Linked DNA regions of Lepisosteus oculatus. The protein of the gene in region 3 purifies or fractionates together with the protein of the main gene of each other region. This does not show direct contact. Links are inferred from orthologs where the notes say so. Each region holds a gene or a part of one and is shown on either strand. Other genes may lie near its edges. The genes, in order: cops7a, ankyrin repeat and SOCS box protein 13, cullin-5 and asb6.

What was found.
Region 1: the proteins of cullin-5 (region 3) and cops7a purify together in Homo sapiens (affinity purification with mass spectrometry; 3 studies listed by BioGRID and IntAct, with this or other methods). This does not show direct contact. The link is inferred for Lepisosteus oculatus from reciprocal best matches to the Homo sapiens genes CUL5 and COPS7A.
Region 2: the proteins of cullin-5 (region 3) and ankyrin repeat and SOCS box protein 13 purify together in Homo sapiens (affinity purification with mass spectrometry; 4 studies listed by BioGRID and IntAct, counting the BioPlex papers as one, with this or other methods). This does not show direct contact. The link is inferred for Lepisosteus oculatus from reciprocal best matches to the Homo sapiens genes CUL5 and ASB13.
Region 4: the proteins of cullin-5 (region 3) and asb6 purify together in Homo sapiens (affinity purification with mass spectrometry; 6 studies listed by BioGRID and IntAct, counting the BioPlex papers as one, with this or other methods). This does not show direct contact. The link is inferred for Lepisosteus oculatus from reciprocal best matches to the Homo sapiens genes CUL5 and ASB6.

What each region holds. Positions count from the first base shown.
Region 1 is NC_090718.1:2,551,160-2,558,974, forward strand, and holds the start of cops7a (COP9 signalosome complex subunit 7a), read right to left. Parts: upstream 3,314-7,815; 5' UTR 3,204-3,313; intron 2,009-3,203; 5' UTR 1,973-2,008; coding exon 1,832-1,972; intron 1,453-1,831; coding exon 1,377-1,452; intron 1,239-1,376; coding exon 1,150-1,238; intron 781-1,149; coding exon 578-780; intron 1-577. Other genes in the region: tpi1b (triosephosphate isomerase B), read right to left, coding at 5,616-5,734, 6,245-6,332, 7,146-7,231.
Region 2 is NC_090702.1:43,653,049-43,661,425, reverse strand, and holds the start of ankyrin repeat and SOCS box protein 13, read right to left. Parts: upstream 3,052-8,377; 5' UTR 2,944-3,051; coding exon 2,904-2,943; intron 774-2,903; coding exon 586-773; intron 161-585; coding exon 10-160; intron 1-9. UniProt on the Homo sapiens protein: May be a substrate-recognition component of a SCF-like ECS (Elongin-Cullin-SOCS-box protein) E3 ubiquitin-protein ligase complex which mediates the ubiquitination and subsequent proteasomal degradation of target proteins.
Region 3 is NC_090700.1:10,146,342-10,153,750, forward strand, and holds the start of cullin-5, read right to left. Parts: upstream 3,127-7,409; 5' UTR 2,857-3,126; coding exon 2,833-2,856; intron 1-2,832. Other genes in the region: ras-related protein Rab-39A, read right to left, coding at 7,165-7,409. UniProt on the Homo sapiens protein: Core component of multiple cullin-5-RING E3 ubiquitin-protein ligase complexes (ECS complexes, also named CRL5 complexes), which mediate the ubiquitination and subsequent proteasomal degradation of target proteins.
Region 4 is NC_090719.1:2,800,599-2,808,358, forward strand, and holds the start of asb6 (ankyrin repeat and SOCS box protein 6), read right to left. Parts: upstream 3,004-7,760; 5' UTR 2,907-3,003; intron 1-2,906. Other genes in the region: ndor1 (NADPH-dependent diflavin oxidoreductase 1), read right to left, coding at 3,778-3,922, 4,610-4,704, 5,615-5,733, 5,843-6,359, 6,977-7,084, 7,182-7,399. UniProt on the Homo sapiens protein: Probable substrate-recognition component of a SCF-like ECS (Elongin-Cullin-SOCS-box protein) E3 ubiquitin-protein ligase complex which mediates the ubiquitination and subsequent proteasomal degradation of target proteins.

The DNA.
Region 1 (7,815 bases), on a different chromosome or scaffold from region 3:
ATACTAACAGATGATATTAAATAACAGGAATTGTAAGTCTTCTCCAACTAAAGCCTACATTCTCTGAATTTTTACGAGCCCCTCTGCTAGGGCAGATATATTTTTTTTTTATTGATCTGTAAGCAAATTAAGTGCTTTATGCTGTAGGTTGTGGGTTGAGAAGACATACGTTGGTGAAAATGATGAGAGGAATCGTGTCTTTTGGTCATTTTAAAAAATAATCTTTGAACAACACAGGGAGCAGGTCCTGCAGGAAATCAGTTCTGTCAATCGGACGCCAACCCACCGCTGCTGCTGAAAATGAACTGTGACTTAAAAGTGACAGAACCGCACAACACTGACTTCTAAAGGGAAAAGTAAAGCAAATTAAAGGAACGTCAGGTTTTCCCCAATTCTCAAAAACTAGATAACGTTCCAGTGGAAAGGCAAATTCAATGTTGATTTTTTTCTGAAGCAAACAGATTTTTAGGATCTCGGGTCTACTGAATCAGCTACCCCCCCCCTCCACCATCTTCCTCTTGCACGATTCCTTCGGGGCTCCCTGCCAGCGCCCCACGTCATCCATGGTGCTGCTTACCATTCCTGCAGGGTGTTGGCAATGTTGGGCAGCTCGTGGCGGCCCAGGTCCCTCCCCACGCTGCAGTCCACCTCCACCTGCTGGTTGCGCTGGTCCAGCTTGCCCTGGATGATGTCGCTGTACACGGCCTCGATGAGCAGGTCCTCCAGCTCCCTCACATTCTTCAGCTCCAGCTGCTGCAGGAGGAGGGAGTAGGGGAGGCACTGGAAGAGGGAAGGAGCAGAGGAACATGGTCAATACAGCACAGACTGCGAGTTCACCACCAGTACTACACTCACAGTGCACGGACCGAGAGTTCACCATCAGCACTACATTCACTGTGCACAGACCGAGAGTTCACCATCAGCACTACATTCACTGTGCACAGACCGAGAGTTCACCATCAGCACTACATTCACTATGCAGGGAGAGGGAGGTTAATACACCATAATTGGCTAAATGCCATAGTAAAGTACTACTGCAGCAAGAGAGAACACAGTCAATGCAGTACAATCACTGCTTACTTACTGATCAGACACGACAGGGCAAGAGCACTGCATTTCACAGTGCTCTGGGTTTCACAGTGCAGTTACCTTGAGATTGGAGGCTAGGCTGATGATGGAGAGGTGCCGGAGTTTGTTCTTCTGGGCAGGAGTTAGCTCAGGAAGCGAGGCTGCGTTCTCTGATAAAGGAGGAGAGGGTGTTTAACACAGACTGGCGCAAACACCCCGCCCCAACACACCCACCAAGTGTACTGCCGACTCTGAGCTGTCAGTGTAACGAGGCGCTAAGATACAGGGACACAGGCGGCGGGGCTGACCTTTATAGTCGCAGTACGTCCCGTAGGCGAAGAGGTTGAGCAGCTGGTAGACTGGGGCATGAGGTCCCGACTCCAGCTGAGAAGACGAGACAGCTTAAATACACACACCTAGACTGAGGGTCAGTGAGTGAACGTCCTAGGCGGGCAGCTTGGCAGTCATTTGATCAAATTCATCGAGCTCTACTGGCATGACTGATGTCTTACATTGCTGTCCAAGTGTGCACCATCCACATAACATCTACAAGCCATTTACTATCCAAACACATCAGAGGATGTTTACATACAACACATACAATGCCAGTCAGTCAGACAGACAGCCAGTCGTACAGTCAAACAGCCAGACAGCCAGTCAGTCGTACAGTAAGACAGCCAGACAGCCAGTCAGTCAACAGCCAGACAGTCAGTCCCTCTCCATCTGTCTGCCTGGCTGTACAGGTCTAGGGCTCTGTCAGTACCTCTCTGACATTGGGCAGCTCCAGGATGTCGGAGAAGACGTAGAGCCCGGGCGTCTCCAGGAGGGAGGAGAGCGCCTCCGCCAGCGCGGCGCCCGAGAGGGTCAGGAGCTGATCCACCGACACCTGTCGCACCTCCGACATCTGACCGGGAGCAGGAGAGCAGTAAAGACTCGGTGACTGACAGCACGAACACGGAGCCGAGGGATAGAGGATGAAAGATGAGGGGGAAAAAGGTGGGTTACAATAATAACTCCTTACACTTCTATAGCTCTGTTCTGGACACTCCACTCAAAGCTCTTTACAGGTCATGGGGATCCCCTCCACCACCCCCAGTGTGCAGCCCCACCTGGATGATGCTCCAGTCCTCTCCCCACACACCAGCTCTCAGTGGGGAGGAGAGCAGAGTGATGAAGCCAGTTCAGAGATGGGGATTACTAGGAGGCCATGATGGGTAAAAGCCAGGGGGAAATTTGGCCAGGACACCGGGGTTACACCCCTACTCTTTTTGAGAAACACCCTGGGATTTTCAATGATCACAGAGAGTCAGGACCTCGGTTTTGTGTCTCATCTGAAGGACGGCGCCTTTTTACACTATATTTTACGCTATACTGGGGCATTAGAACCCACACCGACTGCAAGGTGAGCGCCCTCTACTGGTCCCACTAACACCTCTTCCAGCAGCAGCCTTAGCTTTCCCAGGAGTCTCCCATCCAGGCTCACACCTGCTGAGCTCCAGTGAGCTGCCAGCGGTGAGTTGCTGGTTAATGTATCTGCAGGCTGTGAGAAACGAGAAAGGCTACCACCAATGGGCTGATGTACTGGAATGTAGGATGATGCACTGGAGCTACAGTGCACACCCTATAAAGCTTTTCACCTATGTATGCACTGTAGAAACAGCGAGCTCAAGGGAGGTTACTTAAACACACTGACTAGACACAAAAAAACACTCGAGCGAGAGAGATAGGAAATTAATACAATCATAAAGAGGATGCACAGTGCGTTCACAGTGTAATGAGAAGGACCATCGTTGTTCTGGACCGAAATACATCCCATAAAATGCACACACACATATATAGCCATTTGATTTTAAAACGTTCAATAATAAACCGATTAAAAAGCGGAGCCAAATACTGCCATCTCATCATCAGTTACTTTTCGTAAGCAGTGCTACCCAACTAAACCGTCTTCGTTTCGCTTTCTTGCAAACCGGCGCAAGAATCAACCTGAGCCCGAGGCTTCCGGGACCTCGTTAGGCCTCAACTGCTTTTCTAACGCACGCACACCCAGAAAAGGTGGCAATGTGTTTCTGAGAGGAGATACGAGAGTGCGCTTTGCTAATTCTTTCATTATGGCTGCTGTTTCACTCAATTACCTTGAAATCGCGTCACTTTTCAACCCGGAATCCAGATCTCGGCAGCCGCACGCACGCAGTAGCCTTTTCTGTAACAACAACTCGCCGGCGCCTTCCATTGGAGGAGGCGAGAGGGAGGCGGGCCATTGTGTCTGGTTCGAGAATGGGATTGGTTTTGATCCTTTGGGGGGGCGGAGAGACAGCCCATCCCTCTCTCCTGATTGGACAACAGCCCGTTTCTGTTTCGGCGAGAGAGTCGCCGGGAGGCGTATCTGACATTCACCCCAAAATGCTTCCTCACATCCTAAAGTTCCGCGACGTCCTCTGTCTCTGCTTCCAGAACGCTTTTTAAAAAAATATTTTGATAAAATGCAGACTCGTAACAAGCTTATGATGAATTTATTAGTACTCTAAAAACGATGCCTCCGGCTGTTCTTTCAGTGACACCAGACGTGACGATGCATTCACACGTGGAGTGATGCTGTCTGACCAGGGCTCCACTGACACCCCAGGAAAAAAAGTGGTAAGATTTGCCCAGGTCTCCAGCCGCCGCCTCGGTTTTGGACTGTAACTGGAAGGTTGCGGGTTGAAATCCCACTCTGTACGCGGGCTGCTCTAGTGTAAATGTGTAGAATGAATGGAAATGAAGGGGGTGTCTCTCTCTCTCTCTGTACCACCATAGTGGATCACCGGGCTCTATGACATTCATAAAATAGTGACTTAGCCGTTCAAATTTCAGTGCACACACGTCCCAGACACTGATGCTCTTTTTTAAGAAGAGCGCAGCTAGAGACGGGGACGAGAACGCGAAAAACAAACCGAGTTTAAGGCTTTAGTAGAATAGTTATTGCAGGCAGATTATGGTGCTACTTTTTCATAATTTCTAGAACTGACAAAAAAAACGTAGTAGCCCCCGTGAACCGCTTAGGTGCTCATACCACTCAGTTAATTTAATTTACGGTCTGTTCATTCAGCTAGCACCACGGAGAAACGTGCCGGTTAGACTAAATGTCGATTCCTTCTCCCCTACTGCACCCTTCTGGTAATACGGGGGACATGGGCATCTCCCAAGCCTAACAGCAGGAGTCTGGGCTCCAGTCTGGCTTTCGGTGATTAAATTGCACCCGTATTGTAAAATAAATAAATCTATGCCACATGATCGCTGTGGTCACTGCCGATCCGGGTTCGAATCCTTGGCTCTCCACAGCGTAGACAATGTTGTATAAAAGCCCCAAAACAACAAATGAGAAGAGAAACTACTTTGGCAGCAGGCTTATCGCCCTACAGCTCCTAGCTGGCAGCCCTACTGGAGCTCAGCAGGTGTGAGCCTGGCCAGTACCTGGAGGGGAGACTCCTGGGAGAGCCGAGGCTGCTGCTGGAAGAGGTGTTAATGGGGCCACTAGGGGGCGCTCACCCTGTGGTCTGTGGGGGTCCTGATGCCCCAGTAGAGTGACAGGGACACTATACTGTAAAAAGGTACCATCCTTTGGATGAGATCCTGACTCTCTGGGGGTCAGGAAAGATCCTAGGCGTTTCTTGAAAAGAGTAGGGGTGTAACCCCAGTGTCCTGGCCAAATTTCCCCCTGGCCTTTACCAGTCATGGCCTCCTTATAATCCCCCCCCTCTGAACTGGCTCTCCTCCCCACTGAGAGCTGGTGTGTGGGGAGAGGACTGGAGCATCATCCAGGTGGGGCTGCACACTATGTAGGGGGGGAGGGGATCCCCATGACCTGTGAAGAGCTTTGAGAGGAGTCTCCAGAAACATGTTGTGTAAGAAAGTATTATAATTGTAACCTATGTGACATTGTGGTGCCTTGTAGAAAATAATGAGTTCCAGGCTCCTGTTGCAACCATCCTGACTAGAGCTGGATTTGTGCAGTATGGAGATTTGTGCAGCTCAGCAGCAAGTGGTAGCAGATTGGACCCTTCAGAATATACACTACCCCCCCAAGAGAACAGGAATCAACACCGGGTTCCGATCAAACCGTTTGTTTAATAATCCCTTTTCCAGCCAACGGCTCCCCCAGGCCGTGAGCCAGGCTGGCTGCGAGGAACACAGAACGCAAGAGCTTGAAGTTCAGGGTGACAGTGCTTGGCAGACAAGGAACATTACAACACTTGGATTACAGATGGGTACCAATTCCTGACTAAATTACGGGCTTTCAAGACTTTATGCACATCACACTGCACCAGCACTACACACATCATCCAAGACGATCACAAAAGCATACACTTGTGGTTGTCAAGAACCCACGTCGAGTATACTGTCCCCAAGTGCTTGATGACGTATGCAGTGTCTGTGCAGCATGCCCATCTATGCAGTGCTATAGGGCTGAACACATGGAGGAAGTGACATCACAGGGGTGGGGCTTGTAAGTGCAAAAGGGGGGCGGGGTCCACCATCCCCGGCTGTGACCTCATCACTGCCTCCCCTCACTGGCGCGCGTTGATGATCTCGACGAACTCGGGCTTCAGGGAGGCGCCGCCGACCAGGAAGCCGTCGACGTCGGCCTGCGAGGCCAGCTCCTTGCAGGTCCCCCCGGTAACGGAGCCTGGCGCGAAAGGGAGTCCATTGAGAGGAGGAAACAGCACTTTGGGAAACACCGAACGAACACAACCTAGAGCACCAAGAACTTTAGAAAGCCTGCTAGAAATCTCACACAATCCAGTGGAAACATGCAAACTCCACACAGACAGCACCCCAGGAACTGAACCCAGGGCCCCAGCACTGCGAGACGGCAATTATCACTGTGCAAACCCTTACATACATTAACCTGGAGCTAACCGACATATCCTTAGTAGAAGATGGAGATATTTACATCTACAGTCCTTTACAGATGACTTAATCAAATCCACCCCCCATGATAAAGCTAAGCCCACAAATCCCTCGTTTTAGAGCCAATTCCGCTGTAAATCCATTTTGCAGGGCTGCATTTACACCATTAAACCACACACGACCGGTTGCTGGAAAACCAACGGGGGAGGGGAAAATCGAACAAGCTTGGGGTGAAGGACTAATGTACGTCCACACTGGAGGAGACGTGCAGGACGAGGAGTCTCACCTCCGTAAATGATCCGGCAGGAGCTGGCTACCGCCTCCGAGACGTTGGTCTTCAGCCACTGCCTGAGCTTATCGTGAACTTCCTGGGCCTATGCCGGGGGGGAGGGGGGAGAACGAATGGAAGAATAGTTAGAAAACAAGAAGGGTCAAATGCCTCCCCCAGTCTGCTTTCCCAGAAGCCGGGGTGGGGACTTCAGTAACATGGGCAGGGTTGCTCGTTGCCTACCCCCACCACCCTTTGTGTAAAGGGCCTCCTAAGTAGAGGGCTTAAGGAAGTTGCTAGCTCAGCCGGGAGCAGGGAGAAGCTGTTAAAACTGGTCTGAATACGTCAATGGCCTCATTCAGGTTGATAAAAGCCCAGCCGGACAGAAAACCTGGAAACAGGCTGGCTCTCCGACACTGGGAGGCCCTGCATTAACCAGACAATGGGGTAGATCAGGCATCTTCAACTGCTCCCAAGGATGCGAGCTGGAGACCAGCCTGTGCACGCGGTGTTGAGTTCAGTCTACGCTAGCCCCTTTGAATACAGAACTTCCTCTGCTAGGAAGAGCCCAAAACATCACTGCACACGGGCCTGAGGGTTCATCCCAAAACCACAGAAAACCCAGCCAAGCAGTTGCCTTGCAGGATTCGTGTTGCTCTGCAACCCCTGAAGAGGGGAACCCCCCCCCGAACTGCAGCTGCGCTTGGGTGACACAGCGGCCATTCTGCACAGCAGATCAAGAGCAGGAGAGAGAATTGCCTCATGCTGAATTGAGGAGGAGCCCTCGTGAGGCCAAGTATAGGATTTAACAGCTCTGGTCTTACAGCTATAAAAGCCGCTGTCCATTCGATAGAAATACATGAGCCTTACAACGTTAAACGCTTACGGAGGGTCGAGCAGTCGACATCAGCAATGTTACCTGTTGGGGGGTTGCGGTTTTCCCAGTTCCAATGGCCCAGACAGGCTCATAGGCCAGGACCACCTTACTCCAGTCCTTCACGTTGTCTGCAAAGACACACAGCTTAGTAGAAGCCCTCGGGCAAGGACTACAGTTCCCATCAGCCACTGGGGGGGTGTAGTTCCACATCCCCCATGCACTAGCGTCAAGCCGACATCAACCGATTTTGTGAGATCGCCCCGAGTTTATTAGAGGATGCAGATGATTCTAGTAAGGATAAAAACACCCAACAGGTTTACTTCCATCGCTAATCCTCCATCATCATAAATCAGGTGGAGTTTATTTTTCACGGCATTTCAAAAAATGCTTTGCCTTTCAGGACATGCAAGTTCACCACATTTATATATTTATGTACTCCTTTGCCCCTTTTACATGGTTTATAAAGCACTTTCTTACTTCCGATGTGGTCTTTAACGTTTACACTAAGTCACTAAAGCTAGAATTTGCCCAAATCTCGAGTCTTGGGCATTAGTTGGGTGGTCATGCTTCGGGAAGAGCAAAATTATCCCTAAAACAATCCAGATCCAACAAACTCAGCACCAGCCTCAATCCCCACAGTCTTTCCAAAAACTGTAAGCCATAATGTGACTGTGCAGATCCATTATTCAGGCTAGATCCCAGACGTCCGAAA
Region 2 (8,377 bases), on a different chromosome or scaffold from region 3:
GTATATTACCACTCATGCAGGCCTCATGAAGAGGAGAAGCAGTAAACAGAGCAGGATTTACTTTGGCTCCATGTTCTAAAAGTAACTTCACGCACTCTATACTTCCAGCGGCACAGGCGTCACACAAAGGAGTACTGCCATCGATGTTTCTTGCATCAACCTAAAAACACAAACATCACACCGCAATCAATCCAATTCTCCTGAAATCGCTGCATGCGGAATTGATATTTCAATATCAGTTGGCATCCTTCAACACTTTTAGACTATGTTTGCTGATCCGTTGCTTGTTTGTTTCACAGTGTCACTACAAAAAGTACTTCGGAAACGGAACTGGCAAAAATTTTGCATATGGTGATGTGAAGACCACTAACAACTGTTCAAAACATTTTTTCATAACAAACGTAAATAAAATAATATTTAACAAAGCTGATACAATACATGTTCTCACTGCATCCAGATATATACCTTTATTTACCATCTAAATAATGCTGTAGACCTCCTTATGCCAGATTTGACAAGAGGTAAAATGCAGTGAACCTTTAATTATTCTACGTGTGGCAATATAATATCAAGATTAAGTCTCACCTGTGCACCTGCTGCCAGCAGTAACCGGACACAGTGAGTCTGGCCTTGCAGGCAGGCTTCATGAAGTGGCGTGATGGAGTCGACGGTGACTACGTTCACACAGGCTCCGCTCTCGATTAGCTGCTTCAGCTGCAGGACCTGCCCATGGCTGGCTGCCTCGTGCACTGCGGTTCGATCAGCCCAGAACCCTATGGGCAAAGGCAAAAGCAATAAGGCAAGCAAATAAGCTAGCAATTCTTGAAAAGAATAGAGAAGATGCTCAGATTAATTAGTTACTAACACCCAGATGAGCAAGATGGGCTGAAAACTGTACCTCTTACTTCTACTGATCTCAAATATACAGAATGTGACAGGCTCTCCCAAAACCAGGCTACTCAAGGTCAATTTTCAGGCTTAAGTGTTGGAATGTAGAATTCAGGAAATTTGTTCTTGATAAAAACCTCATTTATTATATTGTGTCTGTAAAATTTTAAAAAATGTACAATAATGTTGACTGCAAAGGAACAAGTAATAGGTTTATTCCATGCTGAAAAAAAGAAGAAAGAGAACACAACGTTTCGGCCGTGGAGCCTTCTTCAGGTGTCAATAATGTTGACTGTTGCTCTCAATTTAACCTTTTGCACGTAAAATAAAAAAAGAACTGAGTACTGAAAACTCCAGCTTAACACAGCAGCTTACAGACATTTGAGTAAACAAATAAAAGTGCATTCTTAAATTAAAGTTAGCTAATATTGGACATTTCAGCCCAATATAATTTAACAAATTAAAAATACAAATTCAAATTTTGTCATTATTCTACAGGTCTTTCTCTAGTGTGGTTACACTATTATGGCAATATTTCAGCCTTACATATCTAACACCACACTTATTCAAGGCCCCTCAGGACAATTCCGGATCACTCAGATGACATCTTGTACCTCCAGCAACCTTGTTTACTGTATCTCTTGCAGTAAATGCCCAGGCATCTACATTGGAGAAACAGGAAGGAGACTCCAAGATCGCTTCAGAGAACATGTTAGGGCTGTGAAGATTAGAGATTTCTCCGAGGCTATTGTTTCTCATTTCACCTCTGACAGCCATGATCACACTAATCTCTCCATCTGTGTTCTCAAAGATGGTTTTCCTAACTCCCACATCAGAAAGACTACTGAAACTAAAATTATCCTGCAGTTAGGATCACACCTTTTCCCCTCTCCCAACAACAGACTAATTTTCTTCTAAATTCTCTCTATTCATTGTTGTTTTCATTTCACACCTCTCCTCACCTATCCTGACTGGCCACTCTGTCTTTCCCCTGATCCTGCCTGCGGCCCCTCCTCTCTCCCAGCTTTTGTTCTCCTGCTACATTATCTTTGCTTACTGCCCTGTCTTTCTCACACCCGAAGAAGGCTCCATGGCCGAAACTTTGTGTTTTCTTTCCTCTCTTTTCAGCATGGAATGAACCTATTACTTGTTCCTTTACAGCCTACACATGCTGATGCAGCTACCCACCTGAACTGTTATGGCAATAGCAGCTTCTGATCAATGATCACCTGTGCTTTAGTAAATTGTTGCCAGTGGTATCCTACTGAAGAAGCCGGATATAATTTTGTCACTACTAGCAGTTCTTTTGGAGGCAAGATTAGTGGTACTACGATCTTGCTCTGACGTTGTTCCTAACTGACTTAAACAACATTTACAAACCAGAATCATAACCTTGCAAACTGAGGCACCATTACATGTTACTCTTAGGAACATTATCAGCACCTAGTGATGTGCCTGAGATTGCCACAGGCATTACAAGTTGTTATCATGAAGTAGCACACTGACATGGTTCACAACCTGTAACTAGATATTAAGATCTTGTGCAACCGGTTTTACAGCTTGTCCTTGTAAACAAGCCATTGCACTCTGCATAACGTCACACGGACTGCCTTTTCTCAAGCGTATATCGTGATGCAATTAAGCTAAACTGCCTTATTTTTATTACACCTTTGACTGTGTCACTTTTGATACAATAACACCGTTTCGAGATAGAACATTAACTGTCTTCACACATACTGTAATACTACTGTAACATACACGTCTGTATGAATTCCTAATCCTTGCCTAAAGCAGTAAAAAAACACAGCTGGATAATATTTTACTTGAGTGTTGTAGTTGTTCTTAGCAGATAATAAGATTGAACTACTTCCTGACTATCACAAGCAACCCATGTTCCCAAAACAAGGTCTCCGAGTCTATACAGGCACGCATGTATTGGAATCAGGTAGCTGGTGTGTGTTTTTCAAATTGGACAGCAGAACAGCTGAACTCTAGTCCAGATCTGTGTAACTCACCAATGTCTCCTATGTTCACTCTTGCCGTGCTGGTTTCCATTAACGCGTTCTTTTACCGCTATGCACAAAACCAAACAATAAACTATTTTAGTATAATATACATACAAAGCTGTTTATACACTGATGGTAAAGAATCACGTGGTCCGACTATTTTGAATCGTCAAAGTCAAGGGTTACAGGATACAATGTGCACAAAGGCTTCATGGGAATAGTAGTTTGAACATTTTCAGGCGTCTACTGTTGCTAAATGAACCTTTTTAATTTGGCAAGACAAGACGTTTCCAAACTGAAATGTTTTGCACATGCAAAAAATATTTTTAATATTTGCCGATACTATCCTATTGACGATTTGAAAATAAAACACAATATAGATTTGCGAGCTGGCAAATATGCACAGCTGGCAATATGGGAAACAAAATATGAATGGGGAAAGGCAGGGGTCAGTGAATACTATGAAGTAGACCTTTAAGTAATCACTTTAAAGCTCTCCGTCGAGCGTAAAAATAAATTTGTGTCACATTAATTTTAAGGTTCTAGACGAGGGTATGTCTAACGTATTGCAAAGTGCTTGGTTGTTGTTTTCCATATACATTCAAATTTCACTACTCGTGTTTATAATGACATGAACAAACGGCCCCCGGATTGTTACTGGTAATGTTTTATACAGACTGTCGCCATAATATATATATACACCAATTATATAAACTGCTTATTCAAAATGTGCTTAACACGGTCATTTGCTTTTGCTATGGAATGCATGTTCATGTTAAATCTTGTAGAACATCACTTGTGACATTTCCTTACCTAAACAAACAACCCAGTAAGTCCTGAACGCTATTAAATGTTTATATAAAGACCTTGATGTATAAGAATGATGTGGGTGTTTTTACTTCAATCACACTGTCTCTCAAAAAAGAATAGGCAACAGAGAGATCAATCAGGCGGATCCCGCTGATCAGCATGTTAAAGCAGTAAAAGGCATTGATAAAACTCCACTTCATGCATTATTTAATCCTATTGTTATACGACTGATGGAAAACAATGACATACTGTAGAAATCTGCTCACCTCCCCACCCCCCTGGAGTGGACTGATCCAGTGACCCCTAACCTTTCCCCTCAAGGCTCACCCAATCGAGCCTCCCCTCTATTAAAGCAGGGGGCATCTTCTTTCTTTCTGTCTTCGTGCTTCGTGTTGCTGTCCTTCAGATGAAATGTAAAACCGAGGTCCTGACTCTCTGTGGTCATTAAAAATCCCAGAGTGTTTTTTTTAAAAGAGTAGGGGTGTCCTGGCCAAACTTTCCCATCGGTCTTTACTGATCATGGCCTCCTAATAATCCCCATGTATGAATTGGCTTCATACTGTTCCCTTCCCCCCTAACAGCTGATGTGTGGTGAGCAGACTGGTGCACTATGGCTGCCGTCGCATCATCCAGGTGGGAGCTGCACATTAGTGGTGTTGGGGAGTCTGTAAAGCCCTTTAGAGAGGATTGTCCAGAAAAGCGCTATATAAGTGTAAAGAATTATTACTAGGGGAAAGGATAAAGATATTTACACGAGGTAGGTCACGAGGGAGCTGGAGCCTATCCTGGAAAGCAGCAGGCACAAGGCAGGGTACACCCTGGCCAGGACACCAGTCCATCGGAGAGCAGACACACCAACCCATACTCAATCACACCTAGGGCCAGATTTCCCAGAAGCCTATTAAAGGAATATGGAATTGTTTGCAAGATGCAAGGAGTGGTCTTCAAGTTTGTCTAGAGTGGCAGGTACGAGCACGTCACAAGAAACTGGATGCATCAGGTGGTCGAGGAAGGGGGGAGAGACGTGCTGGATTTCCCCCTAAAACTCGACTGCATCTTTTTCTGCAACCTCTATCAGGTGTTGCGAGATTCGCTCAGCCACAGGTACCAGTACTTCATCAGGTTGTGGTTCTCCTTCCCTATGAGGCACCTGATCCAGTGACAAACACAGAACCAAAAGCGGAAAAGCGACTGGAGACCTACACCCACCCTGTCAAATGGATCCGGAGGCGAGAGACCATGAGACAACCAGAGCTCTGCACCAGCCACAGGGCCCTGTACAAAGAGGTGAGAGGCCAACTGGTTGCCAGAGAGTGGCTGCAGGTACTCAGACAAGTCTGGGAAAGGACGCAGCCAAAGGAACTCAACAAAAAGTTAAAAGACTTTAACTGGATGGACGTGTACCAGAGGCTGGCAATCAGAGAGGTCCGCTACAGACACTCGCTCACCAGGAACCCACATTCCCCTGGGACACATTTTTCGAGGAGATGCCGGAGAAAGTGTCCTGGAGCTGTTTCTTCACCAAAGCAGCATGGGTCAGAATGGACAATACTCCTGGGAGCGGGAACGAAGCTAAGCTGCCAGTATAAACTGCTGGGGCTGGCCCGATTGGAATAGACAAAAGGGACACAATACCTGCTATGGCTGCTAGTGTTCCTAATAAAACAAGGACTGTGGAACATGAGGAACACTTCTCCAGCACAGAGTGGGAAGCGAGGGAGCTGGAGGAGAGGATGCTTGCAAACCTCAGAGGGAGAATGAAGTGCAATGTTACCAAAGGAGTGCTGGAAGGGACTGTGGGCCCTGTATAGGGAGAAAGGAGGAAAAACCTGTTCATTTGAGCTCCTGCAGAGAACTGGGCAACTGCAGTTTCAGTTCCAGGACAGGGAAAAGAGACGGACAACAGCAAGTGGTAGGTCTCGGAGGGACTCTTTTTGTGCAAATCAAGCCCCAGCAACCACGTGCACAGATTGAAAAAGGAGAAACACCTTTAAGAACTTTACTATAACATACTAGAGAGTTTATGCTTTGCGAGAGTATGTACTCATTGCACGATTAATGTATCTTGTGCAATAAAGTTGATTTTGAAAAAAACCCAACATGGCATTGTTTGCAGGCACCAGGTCAACAATTGCTGCCTCCTGTTCAACATTGAAAACCTTGCCTTGACCACCAGGACAGGGTTTTCTGTCAGTTCTATAAATTAAAAAAATAGATTTCTACTGGACAAAAAATGACTCCATAAATTTCAGAAGAGAAAAAACTCCAAAAATGGATTTTATTTACTAATTTATTACTGTCCATCAAGTTTATACAGTATACGATCTCTTACCTATTCTCAAGTCCAATAATTGATGCTACAGCTGAACACGCCTCTGGCCTGGCCACTGGTTCACGCAGTGAACGACCAGGATCAACAGTGCCCATTAATATTTCTTTTTGGCACCTCAACTCTCTGCAGTCTTCCTCCACCTCTTCACCCCTAGGGTTGTGGTACCCCTCTTCCTCCTCTTTTGACCATCCATCTCCAACTGAACAGTGACCCTCTTCATGTGCAATTATGAACTGAGTGATATTTTAACAATTAGCTTAAGATTACTTGCATGTGTGTAATACATATGGGAGTAATCCCACGTGGGAGTAATTATTATCAACTGGGAAAAAATGAGTTTTGTTTGACCGTATATTTCTACTTGATTTTTATGTCATTCGTAGAGCATCATTTTTATTGTTTACCACAAGAGGTGACTGACATTTGGATTTTCTGGGAAAGCAATGATAGATTACTTAGTTTTACAAAAAGAAATGTTTCTGTTTTGCTCATTTTAGTTTTGATGATGTGAGTCACAGTTGCAAATTGTTTTAGCAATCTAGGAAAACTACAACAAAAACATTAAAAAAGGACATTTATAGAAATGAAGTCATCATAGATACTAAAAGATATTTGAAAAGCCAGAAATTGCAACAGAGGATAAAATAATTGATAACATCTCTTCTCAGTGTTACAACAGCAAAAGAATAATAAAACGTAGTAATAAAGGACATGGTAACAGTAAAGGATGGATTAAAGTGACTCAGAGATGATAATGGGAAATCTATACTGCTTTTAATGAAAGTGAAAAGGTTAATGTATTAATTGAATTAGTCACTCAATTATTTACCACGGAAGTGATACCTCTCAAGGTCCTGCCATAACCATTCAACATAACTATTAGGTCCAGACCTTGACTTGCACTCCCTAAAATGCTAAACACAATCTCCTTCAGCCATTCTATTGTAGATCTGCTTGTGTGTTTAAGATCGTCTTGCTGTATGACACTTTGCATTCACCTTCAGCTGACGAATGGCAGAGATTCTCCTCCAGAAATTGCTGATACAATGCCAAATTCATGGTTCCGTCAATGATGACAAGCTGCCCAGGTCCTGAGGTAGCAAAGTAAACCATGATACTCCTACCGCAATGCTAGACGTTGGGAAGGTTCTTCTGCTGGAAGACAAGGTAATGGTTTTCGCCACACAAAAAAGTTTACCGTGACCAGAAAACTTTTGACTCATCTGTTGAGAGAAAATTCTTCCACTTGTCTTGTAGATCGTCCAAGTGCTCTTTGGCAAACTTCAGAAGGGTGACAATGTCCTTTGTAGAGAGCAGTAAGTTCTTACTGTCTATCTTTGCCCCAAAAACATTCCAATTCAGTCTTTTCCTGATAACTCAGACATGTACACTGGCACTATCCACAATCAGAGAGGTGTGTAGATCCTTCGATGTTATTCCAGGGTTCTTTGTGACCTTCTAGACGATATTCTGGGTTTAATTACGGAGATCTTGGAAGAACAACTGGTCCTGGGTAGTGTCACCATGATCTTGAATAATTTCCATTCATTGACTCTTTGACTATGGATGTGTAGAGCCTCAAATAGAAATGGTTTTGCAACCCTGTCCAGCGTGACAAGCATCAACTACCGATTTTACATAGTCTTCTGAAATCTTTTTAAGCATGGCATTACACGTTTTCTTAAAACCTGTATGGGGACTGTTACAAGTCTCAGACAGAAACACAAGTAACAGGTAGTAATACTGTTAAATCAGGAGAAATGAAGACAAGGGATACAGTTGAAATTGGTCTTCATCATTTACTTTTGAGATACATTTGCATTCCAGGTCACATACAGGTGATTTTTGTCCAGATGCATAGTAACCACCTCCTGCAAAGGAGCTCATATAATCACTTTCCACCTGCTCTTTTCCTGGTGGCCTCTGCCAACACTTTGCTAAGCATTAGTGAAGAAGCATTATATGGCCATATAAAGTCTTTCTGAAGTGTGAGCTAGCGCTCCACTCAAATCCAGAAAAACTGTATCCAGTCTATGGTGGTTGTCCTGCCGGGTGGAAATTAGATTTCAGCTGTCCATGTCCCTCCAAGAATGAAGCAGTTACTGAAAATGGATGAATGGAATGCAAGGAAAAGCACGATGTATTCAAATGACATTTTATGTCATTAGTGTTGAATTAGTAGCGTTACTGTTAAATTAGGAGATATAAAAAGGGGGCAGCGCAGTGGCTTTGTGGCTAAGGATCTGCGCCTGTGTCTGGAAGGTTGCCAGTTCATATCCTGCGAGAATCCTACTCCGTTGGACCCCTGAGCAAGGCCCTTAACCCCAACTGCTCCAGGGGT
Region 3 (7,409 bases):
CAAAACAGGCTCTCGTAAAATCTCTCTTTTCCGACTGACTGTCTCTCTGGAGCAAAGCTGTGCATCCGATAAGACACTGCAAACATTCTTCTAGAGTGTTGCTTTTGAGGTTATAATTTTAATGTTCATGGTTATTTTAAGATCAATACCTAAAGGGATCACTGCCTTGTCTCTTTTGAAGTCTGGAATTTACAGCCTCTACTCGGTTGAAGTAATTACCATCAGTAGTCAACTTCAAATAATCCCTTCTGCTCGCTTGGTATTAAAGTTGGGTGTTTATGTAACTTACTACTCACAGGCCTGCAGATAAAAACAAAATTATCACGTGCACTGAACAGCACAGTGATTAGGGTATCAGCACATACTATGGATTGATTTAAGAAGGGTGATTTAGTTGTAGATCTGACAACTGGTCTGAATAATGGTGTTCATCTTCCCCTTTAGGGATATGTACAGTACTTATGGTACAGGCCTTTGAGGAATAAATGATGATTTGCAGCACCACACTGAGAATTACCATGAATGCACCCCCACAACAATTCTATGCTGTATAATACATTGTTAAAAGTTTTTAAAAAGTTGCATTTCCATTTTAATCTCAGCTTAATTCTGTAATGCATTATGCTTAAACCTTATCCTCATTGTACTCAGCCAATTTCAGAAATGAGGCACTTAACACTGCATCTTCAAAATCAAGTCACACCGGAAAAGGAGGAAACTTTCAGTATTCAGAAATCTCAGTGTTCCCTGCACTCTCTCCACTGATATACACAACAGGTGACCTGGACAGAAATGATTTCAGGGAGAACTGGAACTAAAGGCATTTTTATAGCTGTATCTCTGGGATGAAATGGCAGCTTTCCAAATGGATACAATTTAGAAGAGCAAACTGAAACATGGGGAGTGAGGGTACAGCTGAATGTTAAGTACTTGGCACGGAGGGAGAATTTAACAGGCAACTGAAAAAATTATGATGAGAAGAGACACTTCAGGAATCAAAGATAAAAATAAGTGCTTACATCCTTTTTTTAAAACAAAAAGTGATTGACCCAATCAACCTTGACAAACCATTTAATCTTTTTACGGATGACTAGGGTAATGCATGCAATCACACCTCACAACTTTTCTGTTTAAAAAATAAAATAACTACATGGGTCACAGTGTGCTATTTTAAACATGTTTAAGATCTGTGTTTTCAATTATCTTGAAGCCTGGAGAACTTCTTCTAAAACCCAGATTTCTTCACTTGAGCTGCACATCGACAGGCAAGATGTAGTGCCAATTTGCTTGCATTACACTTTAAATCCATACCAAACCTTTCATCTATGATAAATGTATGATTTCATTATGCAACTGCTTTAACTAGGCCTGAATTGGAATGCATTAAAAAATGGCACTGGAAAATAAGGAATGCACATCACTGACCTGGAGCTGCAAGGAGAGAGATAGTTTGCAAAGATTCCTCTCTTTACTAATTCCTGTGGGGATCCATACTTAGCCATACACAATAGGCAACTTCCAGAATATAAGTAACAGAAAACAATTAAAGAGTTCAAACTAATCCCATTAGGTCAATTAAGGACTTAATTATGTAAGAAAGACCTCAACTGGAACACAAACCAGCGGGTGGGTGAGTCATCAAGACCAGGGTTTATTCAACTCTGTATTAGACATTATATGGCATGCCACTGCGGAACATGAACCTACATTATATATTAGATATTATTTTTTCCCCCAAAAAGCTGCAGTTCTGAACAAGTTTGGCAAAAACTCTGCATTCTCCTCTTAATGTTAGGAAGATAAGTCAAAATAAGGTAGAGCAAAGGATAAGATAACAGACAACAAACCTTGTCAATCGCAGCTGACAGTTATTTAAGTATGCGCTTTTAATCCAGATTGTGGCTGAAAATAATGCAGGAGAAACGGCAGAGATTTGGGCGAGCTCTCATGATGCTTGTCTAGTGCCCACACCTCGCCTAGTGCAGCTTTTAACACTGAACATTAATGCCTCAACGACTGTCACAGTGGGATTTACATTCAGACAATCTACTGGGTAATGTTATTTTTATTACATAATTTCCCGGCATACGATGTATTCTTCACAATTTCGTGGAAAGATGACATCACGCATCTCAGTCTTTAATATTAAACTAAGGAGCTCTGACATCTATAACATAGAATAAAAATATGTGGTCATACGAACTGTCTCAAATTAGACAAGACCCGATACACACTTCAACACTCACCGGTATCCTCATGATGTTTGAGAGCAGGGAATGATTTATTAGGATTTCTGTATTGCATGGCGTACATCGTGTAGCCCAGCTACAAGCTCACAGGCTATGTAAGCTGAAATCTCCTTTAATAAAATAGAACTTCCCCACTCGTATCCGATACATCCAGTGTCTCTTTAAAACACTCTCAAAGCTTCGACTGTTTTAATTTTAACTCGGAATTCCTGGTGAGACTGACAACACGTACAGAAATCCGGGCAACCACAGCTAGCTGGTTATTTTACAACAGTCAGGGTGTATATTATATCTAAAAATAAAAATAAACTTAGAAATAACAAATCTTTATTGTTTTAGTATAATTAAAAAGGCCCATATCCTGAAAGTAAGTTTGAACATCAGCCACCCAGTGCCAATAATATTTACCACCAAAGATAGCTTTGTCTCCCTTTTCTATTAATATGCACACACGTAGTATTCTAACCTTGCCCCCAAACGCTCCGTCTTTGTAAAGAGCCGCGTTTTAAAATGCAGACAGTCGATCACGAATTAGCGTTACTTACACAAAATACTATCATTATTAAAATGAAGTGCCACCTACCTTTAGCAAATTAGACGTCGCCATGTTCCCTCAACTTATCCCCTCGCGCAGCCTCGCGAGATTTCCGAAGGCTTTAGTTACCAAGGGGTCCTGAGAGATGGAGTAATGTTGAGATACAGTCGGCAAAGTTTTTAAAATATAAATAGTCCCTTTATAAATTACAGTTTATACTATTCCATATTAAGTTCGTTATCGGGCACTGATTATGTGGTGTAGTGGAACGCATTCAATTGTTATTTGCAATCCCTTTTTTAATCATTGGCCTTCAAAACACGAACGCAACTCACTGGAACCGTGTCATGTATTTGAGTGGATGCTAAACTTAGCTTCGCCGAACTAAGTCGATCCATACAAGGGTATATCACATGACCGGGAAACAGTACAGAATAGACAGTTCAAGAGAAAAAAAAACAGCGTAAGAAAGATTCCGAGTTGGAGCTGTGTCCATTAACTGCAATGACTATATTATCCAGAGCCTGGCTTGTGTATTGCAGGGGCAGAAATTATACAATTTCAAACAGACCCATAAAACCTATAAATGGTGTGAACAGAGAGGCATGCAGAAGTGCTACTGATCCAATAACAAGGTGGTCGAGGAACCTGTGACTTGTGTAGACGAATTGCAGCTACAAAAACATGTTTTGGTTGTTCCTCACACTTTTGTGCATTAGCTCGTACACGCAAATTTTGCTAAGATGAAGTCATCAGTGACAAGAACCGAAATGGGGAGACGTTTTTTTTCCCAAGTTTAACTTCACATGATTATGAAAATACCAGATTGCACAAATTGTTATTTGATGTTGTCCACTAGGTGGCACTGTTGTATTAAATGGTGTGCCGGTATCCAAGAAACAGGGTTATTGCTAAAAGAAGTCTTTAAAGTTTTTTTCAACAATGAATTTATCTTCCGTTTTTTTAACTTAGTTACTGTGTACACACTTTTTTTATGCCGTTACATTTTTTTTTACCTGCCGCAGCAGTCCTCAATTCTAGGAACTGTTCATTTTTTACCGCAGTGAGGGCCAAGTTTTTTTTTTTAGATCCTCCTCTTCCTTCAAATCCTGCTGTGAACAAAACAGTTTCCCAAAGTACACAAACTATTAAGGATCATGCGGAAGACAAAAACAAAAAGTGTTCCGAAGTTTTTCCTTACCGATAAACCTTTTCAGTCCAACAATACACTCTGTAGAGAAAATGGCTCTTAAAAGAAGCAAGCTTCTGCGGTAAGTTTGCTTTTCAATTATTTCATTTTCAGGTGAACAATTTTTACACTTTGCGCCTTTTATAGAAAATGTAAAACAATTCTAAGTAATTTATAAAACCTAAAGTTGAATTAAGTATTGATCTCATACCCACTTTTATTATTATACTTGACATACTTCCACACCTAATTAATATTTCAGTTATGCAGTAATGATTACTGGACTTTAAAATATAATGATTAATTAGCCTTTATTCTGTAGGTAAATGGTTTTGAGACATAGTTGTTAATCTTACTTTATAGACACCTTCAATATCTATTTTCAAATTCATGTTTAAGAGTCTCACGAGATTCTGTATCTCTGGTTAGCGCTGAATAATTTATATGTCTCTTCTCACTTGGTATTACATGGTACCCATACTAGGGGACACTACAGTATATGCTTTTTTAAAATAATATGTTGTAGGGCAAAAAAATAAATATTGCAGAAACCTGTTTTACACAACCACATCAAATTGCAAGCATATTGCACCTTGGTAAAGTATTATATTGTGTAAGCTATTGATCAGCATATCCCAGATATAAATCTACTTTAAATGTTCATAGGAATTAATAATCCATTTTTTAAACAAAACGTTAAGGTCAGATATTAATACCTAGAATTTGGAATAACGTGTTACATCATGTGTGATGTGGATTCAGTCTTGGTCTCTGAGTGTCCTAAATTATAAAGAACTAAAAAATCCATCGAAACCAATAAAATGCTGGCAGTTCATTTTTAATGTACATGATTATGCAAGCATTTTTTAAATCCATTTAGAAAACTCTAATCTCCAGGACATCCTTTACACATCACAAGCTGCATGATGCTATAGTGTTATCACTAAATATAGCTGTTTTACTAGAAATGTGAACAGACAGACAGAGAAATGTTACTTCAGCAGAACGAAATATAATGTGGACAACAATCATTGTAGTTCAAATAACTGAAAAAAAACAAATAGATTACAAAGTAACTACAGTATAGCAGTTTAACTTTTTAATTGGCTTCCATTCAAAGCATCTTCCATCTAATGAGGAAAAGTTTTACATGAAAGAGAAAAAGTGCACATTTAACAGTGGTCTGTGAAATACAGAGGCAGTAGTATTTCCTCTAGACATTACTGTTGGTTTAGAGTTTTTAATGATATTAAAGTTGTGTGTAATCTATTAAATACAGTCACATGATGATCTCAATCTAAGCACATTTGTATAAGCAATAATTTAAAGTTGATCTAATCAGTGAACAACACACAATCATGCATATCTTCTTTATGCAAGTTTTCAAGCAAGTAAAAACACCATCTGCTTAAGGCAACGTTCTTGGCAAGCCTTGGAAGACACAAAAAGGCAACATTCACAGAGTGTAGTCCCTACAACACTGAGGGATCATTGCACTCTCATTAGCCATTAAAGTCCCTTAAATTACATTCTCATTTTCATTCTTACTGTCCCAGAATCTGAAACATTGTTCTTTGTAGGCGAACATCGTCCTAAAACACAAAATACGTTTAGGCCTGTTTCTCATTAGTTCTAGTCTCTGGCTACCTAAAGTTAAGTTATACTAGGACTAGGGCTTCTGGAGTCTGTGAAACCGTACCTCAAAGCCAAAAATGCACTGCTTTAAATCTCGCACTTACAAGGGATAGAGACATTCTGAACGCAATTCCCTTTTTTCCACCTATTTGAATATAACATTGGCGCAACAATACATTTCCCTTTAAAATAACATATCCTCAGGTGTGGGATAGATACACTCTATAGCCTGTTGGTCGAAGGCTGCATTTAGGTGCCTTGAGTGTACAAATAATAGAGCAGGAGATGCACAACCTGGAGTTTTGGAGGACAAGAGGCTTTATGGTTTTCTTTCCACCTGTGCTCTTAAATTCAAACAATTGGACTCCTTGTTTTCCTTAAGTGGAAAAGTTGAAGCCTCTCCTTCGTCTTTGGAGTTTTTTTTTTAAGGAGAGTTTCTAAAACCTGCTGGACAGCAACTCCTGTGGATTGGAGTTGGGCTCCAATCTTGCTGATCTAAACCTGGCGATACTGTCAGCCATCTTGGGTTAGGAATCCCCAAGGGGCAGTGTGTAATCCACACTGGCTGGGAGGTTTCCTCATTGTGTAGTGCAGCAGCCACCCAAGTGGTGCTGTGAGCTGCAGGCAGTAAGGAAAAAGTGCTCTTGACAAGTAGTGCCACATCTGAAAGAGGCTGCTGAGATGGCGTTCTTATTTCTTTTTCAGCATGGAATTAACCTTTACTTGTTCCTACTGCCAATTTTTCTCACAAACCAAAAAGTATAGCTCTATCCTCTTAAAGTTATGCACATGAAACTGACAATTCCTATATAAAAATTGGTTTCACAAGGATCAATGTTTTTACACACAAATTTATCCGAGATTGCAGATTTTTTCACACATTTAATTTTCTACCTTTTTTTCGTGGTTTTAAAATGACTTCCTAATGGCTTTGAATTAAGGGGGAAGGGGGAACACTAACACAAATTGTTTAAATATTCTCTTGGTACTAGACAAGCGACTTTGTTCAAATACATTCTTAGCCCTTTAATTGACATCACAACAGATGCTTCTTGCTTTCAAAGACCTATTGCTGAAGGGAGGCACATTACTATAGACAGTCATTCACAGAAAGGCATTGTTAAATGTACATAAAAAAACAACCTTGGAGTTACAAATCAAAAATGCTCTGTTTTTACTATATTGGTCTTTCAGGCAGCTTCTTTCCCAAAACCTCAGGTTTATTTACAAAATATGCACGCACATAAATGGGAAAAACAAAACCAGCTAGCCTAAAAGAAGTGAATTTGTTCTGGAATTATAGTCAATAGATTCAGAACGTTTGGGAACCACAACGGTGAGCATTTCTTTACACTGTTTATGAAATGTTTTACAACCCAAGTCAAGTGATTAAATACAGGAACAGCATCTTGGGTCAGATCAAGAGGACTGCACCGGGATGGCGTAATCTAAAAGCTTGTTGACAGGACATCACACAGTCTTCTCTGGGCGCACTAAGCTACCCCACGCCGTCGCATTTGCGGTCTTTGGCTGAAGAACAATTCACGTCTGACTTGCTAGCATGGGCACCTCCTTCCAGGTTTTACAGCTTCCTCGGAGGAGTGGACTACGTTTGGAATGAAACCGCTTTTGACACCTTCCCAGTCCTCCTGAATGCTTATGTGCCCCCTCTTCACTCGCTCATAGATGTCTCGGGTGAGGATGGTGAAGGACTCCTCCACGTTCGTGGCGTCTTTCGCCGAGGTCTCTATGTATTTCATCCCGCAAGCCAGCGCAAATCTCTCGGCTTCCTCCCGGCTCA
Region 4 (7,760 bases), on a different chromosome or scaffold from region 3:
GTCTCACACTACATCACACAGAGATCAAGTTCCTGCTCTATGTAGATGACCTGGTCCTGGTGTCGCCCGAAGAACAGGGGCTACAGCAGAGCCTGGCACTGCTGGAGGACTGTCAGACCTGCGCGCTGCCAGTCCATCTGGACCCAGAACAGCAGAGCCTGGCACTGCTGGAGCAGGACTGTCAGATCTGCACACTGCCAGCCCATCTGTACCCAGTTCAGCAGAGCCTGGCACTGCTGGAGAAGGACTGTCAGACCTGGGCACTGCCAGCCCATCTGGACCCAGACCAGTAGAGCCTGGCACTGCTGGAGCAGCACTGTCAGACCATCTGGAACCAGACCAGCAGAGCCTGGCACTGCTGGAGCAGGACTGTCAGACCTGGGTGCTGCCAGCCCATCTGGATCCAAAACAACAGAGCCTGGCACTGCTGGAGCAGGACTGTCAGACCTGGGCACTGCCAACCCATCTGGACCCAGACCAGCAGAGCCTGGCACTGCTGGAGCAGGACTGTCAGACGTGGGTGCTGCCAGCCCATCTGGACCCAGAACAGCAGAGCCTGGCACTGCTGGAGCAGGACTGTCAGACCTGGGCACTGCCAGCCCATCTGGACCCAGAACAGCAGAGCCTGGCACTGCTGGAGCAGGACTGTCAGACCTGGGCGCTGCCAGCCCATCTGAACCCAGTTCAGCAGAGCCTGGCACTGCTGGAGCAGGACTGTCAGACCTGGGCACTGCCAGCCCATCTGGACCCAGAACAGCAGAGCCTGGCACTGCTGGAGCAGGACTGTCAGACCTGGGCACTGCCAGCCCATCTGGACCTAGAACAGCAGAGCCTGGCACTGCTGGAGCAGGACTGTCAGACCTGGGCGCTGCCGGTCAATCTGGACAAGAGCAGAGTCATGGTTTTCCAGAAGAAAGCCAGATCTCAGGGAAACAGGTGCCAGTTCACACTGAACAGCATGCACACAGTGAAGCACACATCCAGCTACACATACTGTACCGGCCTGACTATCAGCTCATCTGGGAATTTTGATCCGTCAGTGAAAGCACTGAAGGAGAAGGCACTCGGGGCTTTCTACGCAATAAAAAGGAAGCTTTTGAACATCAACCAACAAGAATCTGGTTCCAAATATTTGGTAGTGTAATCCATCCCATTGCCCTGTACAGCAGTGAAGTGTGTGGCCCAATCTCAGACCAGGATTACACTCAATGGCAAAAACACTCCATAGAAACTCTGCACATGCGACCCAAACTCCTACCACAACAAGACTCTGCTGAGCCCAAAACAGAGCCCCCAGAGCCAGCTGGTCCTGAGGCTCACTGACCTGAGCCACACCGACAGCAGCCAACCTCAGGACAGCACTGCTAGAGCACCACAGCTCAGACTCAAGCACATCACAGCACAGATCAAACAGCAATATCTAACACACTGGGTCACACACACACAAACACAACATAAACTGGAATTCTACAGAACCCTAAACGGACAATACACACTAGCCGAATATTTGACCAAGATAAGAAACAGCAAAAAGAAACAGACCCTGACGAAGTACAGGCTCAGTGACCACAGCCTGGCCATAGAAACTGGACACAGGCAGACCTGGCTGTCCAGAGAGGACAGGCTCAGTGACCACAGCCTGGCCATAGAAACTGGATACAGGCTGACCTGGCTGTCCAGAGAGGACAGGCTCAGTGACCACAGCCTGGCCATAGAAACTGGACACAGGCTGACCTGGCTGTCCAGAGAGGACAGGCTGTGCTCCCACTGCCAGCGGGGAGAAATAGAGACAGAGGTGCACTTCCTACTGCACTGCGAGACAAATATTCTGGGATTAGACATTCTTCCCCAAATGTACAAATCTAACGCCAGAATTTCCACACCTACCAGAATCACAACAACTCCCAATCCTGCTGGGAGAAGGGGGAGGGAACTCAGTTGAACTGGCAGCCCAGTATGTGATCGCCTGTCCCAGCCTGGGGAACAGTGAGCCTGTTTCTCAATAATAATAATACAGTGTGTGATCTCCTGTCCCAGCCTGAGGTACAGACAGTGAGCCTGTCTCTCAATAATAATAATACAGTGTGTGACCTCCTGTCCAAGCCTGAGGAACAGACAGTGAGCCTGTCTCTCAATAATAATAATACAGTGTGTGACCTCCTGTCCAAGCCTGAGGAACAGACAGTGAGCCTGTCTCTCAATAATAATAATACAGTGTGTGATCTCCTGTCCCAGCCTGAGGAACAGACAGTGAGCCTGTCTCTCAATAATAATAATACAGTGTGTGACCTCCTGTCCCAGCCTGGGGAACAGTGAGCCTGTCTCTCAATAATAATAAAAATAATAATAATAATAATAATAATAATAATAATAATAATACAGTGTAACTCCGGATTGCGTGAATGAAGCCATACCTTCCGGACAATGTGCTAAAACAGTAACAGGCCCGGGTCTACCTGTGCGTAATGGTCTCTTTTTAAAAACACTGAAATTAACTACTGTTGATAACCCCACGCCGTCATTCCTCACGAATCTCTCGGACCCGCACGGACAACAGCGGAGAACGAGCACCGGCCGCAAACACGCCGAATTCAAACCGCCGCCTGTCTTCGCTTTTATAAACCAGACACACACACAAACAGTCTAATTAAACGCATCATTGCAGCCGAGCGTTAACTCTTAAATATGGCAACTGAAACCTGTTTTAGAGGTGAAGGGGTTTCAAAAATACACAGGCGAGGATTACCAGAGGGGACCGCAGGTACTGAAGCGAGCCCGCTAGCTGCACATTCATATTTTATTAACTTATTATTCCAGCAAGTATTCACCAGCTTGGGTATTCAACAGTTATACTCATATTATGGATATTTACTACGAATTTATTTACAAAACGTGCACAAACTCACCAACACAGGACCCGAAAACGCCACTAGCGGACTGGCGGAGGCATGCGAACACTGCAGCTGTCCGTGTTTGCCGACGGACCAATCAGAGGACGTCTCAGTTAATTGAATCTAAAACTCGGCTGCCTATTGGATAGAGTCCCGGAAGTATTTTTGTGCCGCTATCAAGTTTGTCCGCCCTGCAGACTCGCCTATTATAAAATTACGTGTGATTTGAAACGTAGATATACCTGTCTCGGAAGAGGCGTGTGCGCGATTTCTGCGCTATTATCTTACAAAATTCTCTCTTTAGATGTTTAACTCGATTGCAGGTGTCACGATTACCTGCTACAAAATGAGCCTGTTGCAAAACGGCTTTCGTTAACCAATAAACACCAGCGATTGCTCGCACGGTATGCATCAAACAACGTGAACCAGATGCCAGTGAATTGCACAGTTAAACAGTTTATTTAAATTCAGTGTACAGACATCAATCCAGAACACCAGTAAAGCACATTGAGACAACATATGATTGGTCTGTGCTCCCCAGAGCCTTAAAAGCAATTCATAAGTAGACAAATAAAAAAAATCATTTAATAAAAGTTACATTAATATGATCACACGTATGCTGTATGTGCACTGTAATCGCACTCAGTTACAGGGATCCTTGCAGTCGTGCGTTTAGACCTCACACGTGTTTCCTTCGCGGCCGGCGGCTGTTCTGTGGCACAGCAGGCGACGGCTGCTGGAATAGGGGGTGCTTCTTCAATGCAGCCCCCAGTCTCTGAGCAGGGGAACCCCTTCAGACGGAAGCACCTCCAGCACTGCGCCACCCGGCGGGCCGCCCTGCTGCTGCTCACCGCCCACGACGCGTGACCCTCCGCCCGGCACCGGGTCACGACCAGGTCTCGGTCTGAAAGCGGCCCGACCTCTCCAGCTGACACAGCAGCGCCTCGGCGTCCGGGTCCGAGAGACCCCCCTCCGCCTGGAACACGGCTTTCAGGGCATCGGCTACAGCCGCCGGCATCTGTTTGGCATTGCTGAGGCCGGAGGAGACCGGGGACACACAGAGGAGAGACCGCCAGAGCTGGCGATGAGCGATTTAGGAGCTGTACAGGACGGCGCTAGATCTCTGCTGAGGTATTAAAGGCATGCCATCGTTGCACTGAGCTCTTTAATAATAATAAGAAGAAGAAATTTATAATTTATATAGGGCACCTTTCCAAACCCCAAGGATGCTATATGTAAGGATCAGCATTTTTAAAAATACAATAAAAAAATAAAACCAGACCTTGCAGGACACACTGTAAGACAAGCAGACAAAGCCCCCCCGCAAAAAAGCGGAGTTTTAGGTTCAGATTTAAGAAAACAGTCCAAGAACCTGCCTCTCGAAGAGACGCAGGGAGGGCGCCCCAACACCGGGGGTATTTACTGCTGGGCACGGCGTGCAAACAACACAGCGTATGGAAGGGAGGGTGAGAGAGAGCTGGGAAACACCAGATTATTCAGAGCCTTGCAGGTCAGTGTTCTGAGTGGCATTTTATTTCTGTTCATGTTCTTTTTTGTGTGTTTGTAACGCACCCCAAATCAGATCTTAGGGAATGTAATATATTTTCCTGATGTCATTTGAAATGGCTGTAAATTGTATTCTGAACAATGCGGTCAAGCATAGTGAAAGTATACATGGCCGTCTCAGAATATTTCAGGATTGTTCGTGGCGGACTCACCCGGCGATGTAGACGTGGGCGGCCCGGTTGGCGATGAGGTCCCAGAGGAGCCCGGCCTGCTGGCGCACGAGATGCTGCACGTACACCTTCTCCTCCTGCAGGCACAGCCAGAGGTGAGCCCTGCTGCCCCGCCCCTCACTGCACTGAGGGCAGGCCCCTCCAGAGCGGCGTCACACCAGACTACACTGCAAGGCCATGCTCTCTACGGCACTAGGCTGCGTTATAGTGAACCTGACACTAACGCACTTTGCTGTTCTCTGCTTTTCAGCCTGTAATACACTGCACTGTTACCTTGTTTTATTGCACTGTAATATACCGCACTATACTCAAGTACTGCTTACAGTATTGTTCTGCATTGTCCTCTGCACTCTGCCATTCTAGGACTTCATCATGAAAACATAAGAACAGTTACTAACTAGAGAAAGAGCTTCAGTATATCCTGCTCATTGGTTGTCAGTAGCTTACTGGACGGCACCACTCAGTACTGTACAGACTGATCATGAGAGGCAGGTACAGTCTACCGCAAGACTGAAGCAACAAAGCACTCTGGAGAGTGTGAGTGTGGGGGGAAGGAGGAAGACATTGGTAACACTGATCTAGTAGCCTGGTGTGGTCAGGTCAGCACTGGAATTTGAGATCACTGAGAAGCAGGTGGTGTTGGTGGACCAGCAGGTGGTGCTCTTCTCTCTGGGCCAGAATTTCTAAACCGGCGCCCCAGTATGGTCACTGCGGACACAGCGCTGTAGGAGGTGGTGCCACCCCTCTGGGTAAGAAGTTACACCAGGTCCTGGACAATCAGTCACTGGAGAGTCAGAATAGTAGTGGTGTACACCAATGTCCTAACTCAATTCTACTCGGGGCTTAAACAACCTGCCTACTCTAAAATCCCCTCTGAACTCAACCACTGGAGACGTTTCTCTCTTCTCCCCCTGACCTGCTGCACAGGTGGGGCTGCTCTGGTAGACGATCTGCTCTGTATGGGAAAGAGCCGTGTAAACGGCCTACCTGGTCCCGAGAGAAAGCCGTGAAGAGCGTCAGACGCCCGGCCTTCTGCATCTCCTCCCACTCGGAGCGGCAGTAGAAATCCCGGGACTCCGAGCGACAGCCAAAAAACAGAACGTTCCCTGAGGGGGGGGAAGAAAAATGAGGAGATACAGTGGGAATTCCGGAACGAATCCAGAACGGAAAGCTACAGGGAGAAGGGAGGAGAGCCGCAGGGGAGGCAGGACCGACCTGTCCTGTCCAGGGCCGTCCTCTCCTGCAGGGCGGCTCGGAAGGGGGCCACCCCGGTGCCGGGCCCTACCATTATCACAGGGGTGTCGGCGTCACTGGGGAACCTCAGGCCTCCTTTCTTCACCCACAGGGGGACGCGCACCTCCCCTGCAAGATGGGACATTCCGCAGTCAGATAAGAGCGACACGAGGCCACAGGAAGGGAATGCTGGGAAATCCCAGAATCCCACAGACAGACAATCTGCGGCTGGACTGCGTTCTCCGTCAGAAATGCAACACCAGCCCGGGTTTTCTTCTAAAACTGTCAGGATTCTAGCACATCCCCAGTCCACGACACGCTGCTCGGCGGTCACGCGACAGATCTGCACCGCGTCGCGTCGCAAGGCTTCACGCTTCACTTTACTCTGTGTGGGGTCCAGGTAGGCCAGCCAGGACGAACAGAGGCCCCTGCGTGGCTTGTGGAGCTTGGTCCTGTACTGCACCACCGCCACCAGCACCTGGATCCGGTCAGGGTGAGCCTGCGGGAGAACAGGAGAGCCAGGAGTGCCGGGAAGATCTGCCCCGCCTCCCGTGTGCCCTGTCTTGACCTTGATCCCTTGAGAGGTTTCAATAGCATCAACTCATCAACATCCACCAACCCTCTATCCTCTTTGGCCAGGTTTGATATGGCTCTGCATTCAACCGGCGCTTCACCGACCTCAATGTCGCGTCATTACTTAACTGACATTTCATTAAATTTGAGCCTGCGGCCGACCACCACTTGAGCAGCGGAGCAGTGGCTCTGTGGCTCAGGATCTGCCCTTGTTGCTGGGAGGTTGCCGGTTCAAATCCCGCAGCCGGCAGAGGAATCCTACTCTTTTGGGCCCCTGAGCAAGGTCCTTCACCCCAACTGCTCCAGGGGCGCTGTACGATGGCTGACCCTGCGCTCTGACCCCCAGCTTCTCTCCCTGTCTGTGTGTCTCATGGAGAGCAAGCTGGGGTCTGCGAAAAGACAAATTCCTAATGCAAAAACTTCTGTAGGGCTGATAAAGTGATCTCTCTCTCATCTCAAATGAGCACAGAAATGACTTTATAAAAAGCAGGGAGGTATTTTTTGGAACTGCAGGCGAATGGGATGGGCGGCGCAGAGCCTTACCAGCAGGGAGGAGGCGATGGAGAAGGAGCGGGGCTTGATTTCGGGGAAAAGGTCCAGCAGGTAGTCCACGGTGAGAACTGCTGTGGTGTGGGGGAAATCGGCCAAGACCTGCAGGGGGGGGGGGGGGACGAGAGAACAGCGCCCTCTTGAGGACCGGAGGACCGCGGCGGGCAGGGGCTCAGCCGGGTGCGGCGCCCTCGCTCACCTCGATGGCGGTGCGCCGGGGCCGGTGGCAGTAGGCGTGCAGCTCCTCTTGGCCCTGCGCCGTGCCGAACTCCACCAGCTTCTCCCTCTCCAGCTGGTCGGTGGCGAAGCCCGCCAGCAGCTCGAAAAAGGAGCGCCGCGGCACGCTGGCGATGTCCAGGAAGTTCTCCAGGAGGTCCCGGAGCGTGCAGGGCTGGGGCAGGCGAGTGGGCACAGTGGCTGAGGGCACAGGGCACAACTTTAAACACAAAACTGTCCCGAACTGTTGACTGCTCCTCTTCGTGTGCACCCTGAAGCCCGTAGCGCCTATTCGCCTGTGGAAGACCAAGTAAGGAGGGTGAAGACTGTGACTATGCCCGGAAAAGGTTTCCAGCTCGTACCCAAGACAGCTGTCTTTCTGCAACTGAAGTCTGTGATTTTTCACACCTGTGTGTTCAACCAGATAGAAATAAAACAGATCGCAGGATGCCAAATGGCATCTTCCTGTCCCGTTTACGTTTATGTCTGAAAGATTTCTGAAAGTGTCCCTCTCTCCCATTTGTCCCTTTGATATGTTAAAGTCTCACCTACTTTTAATGTA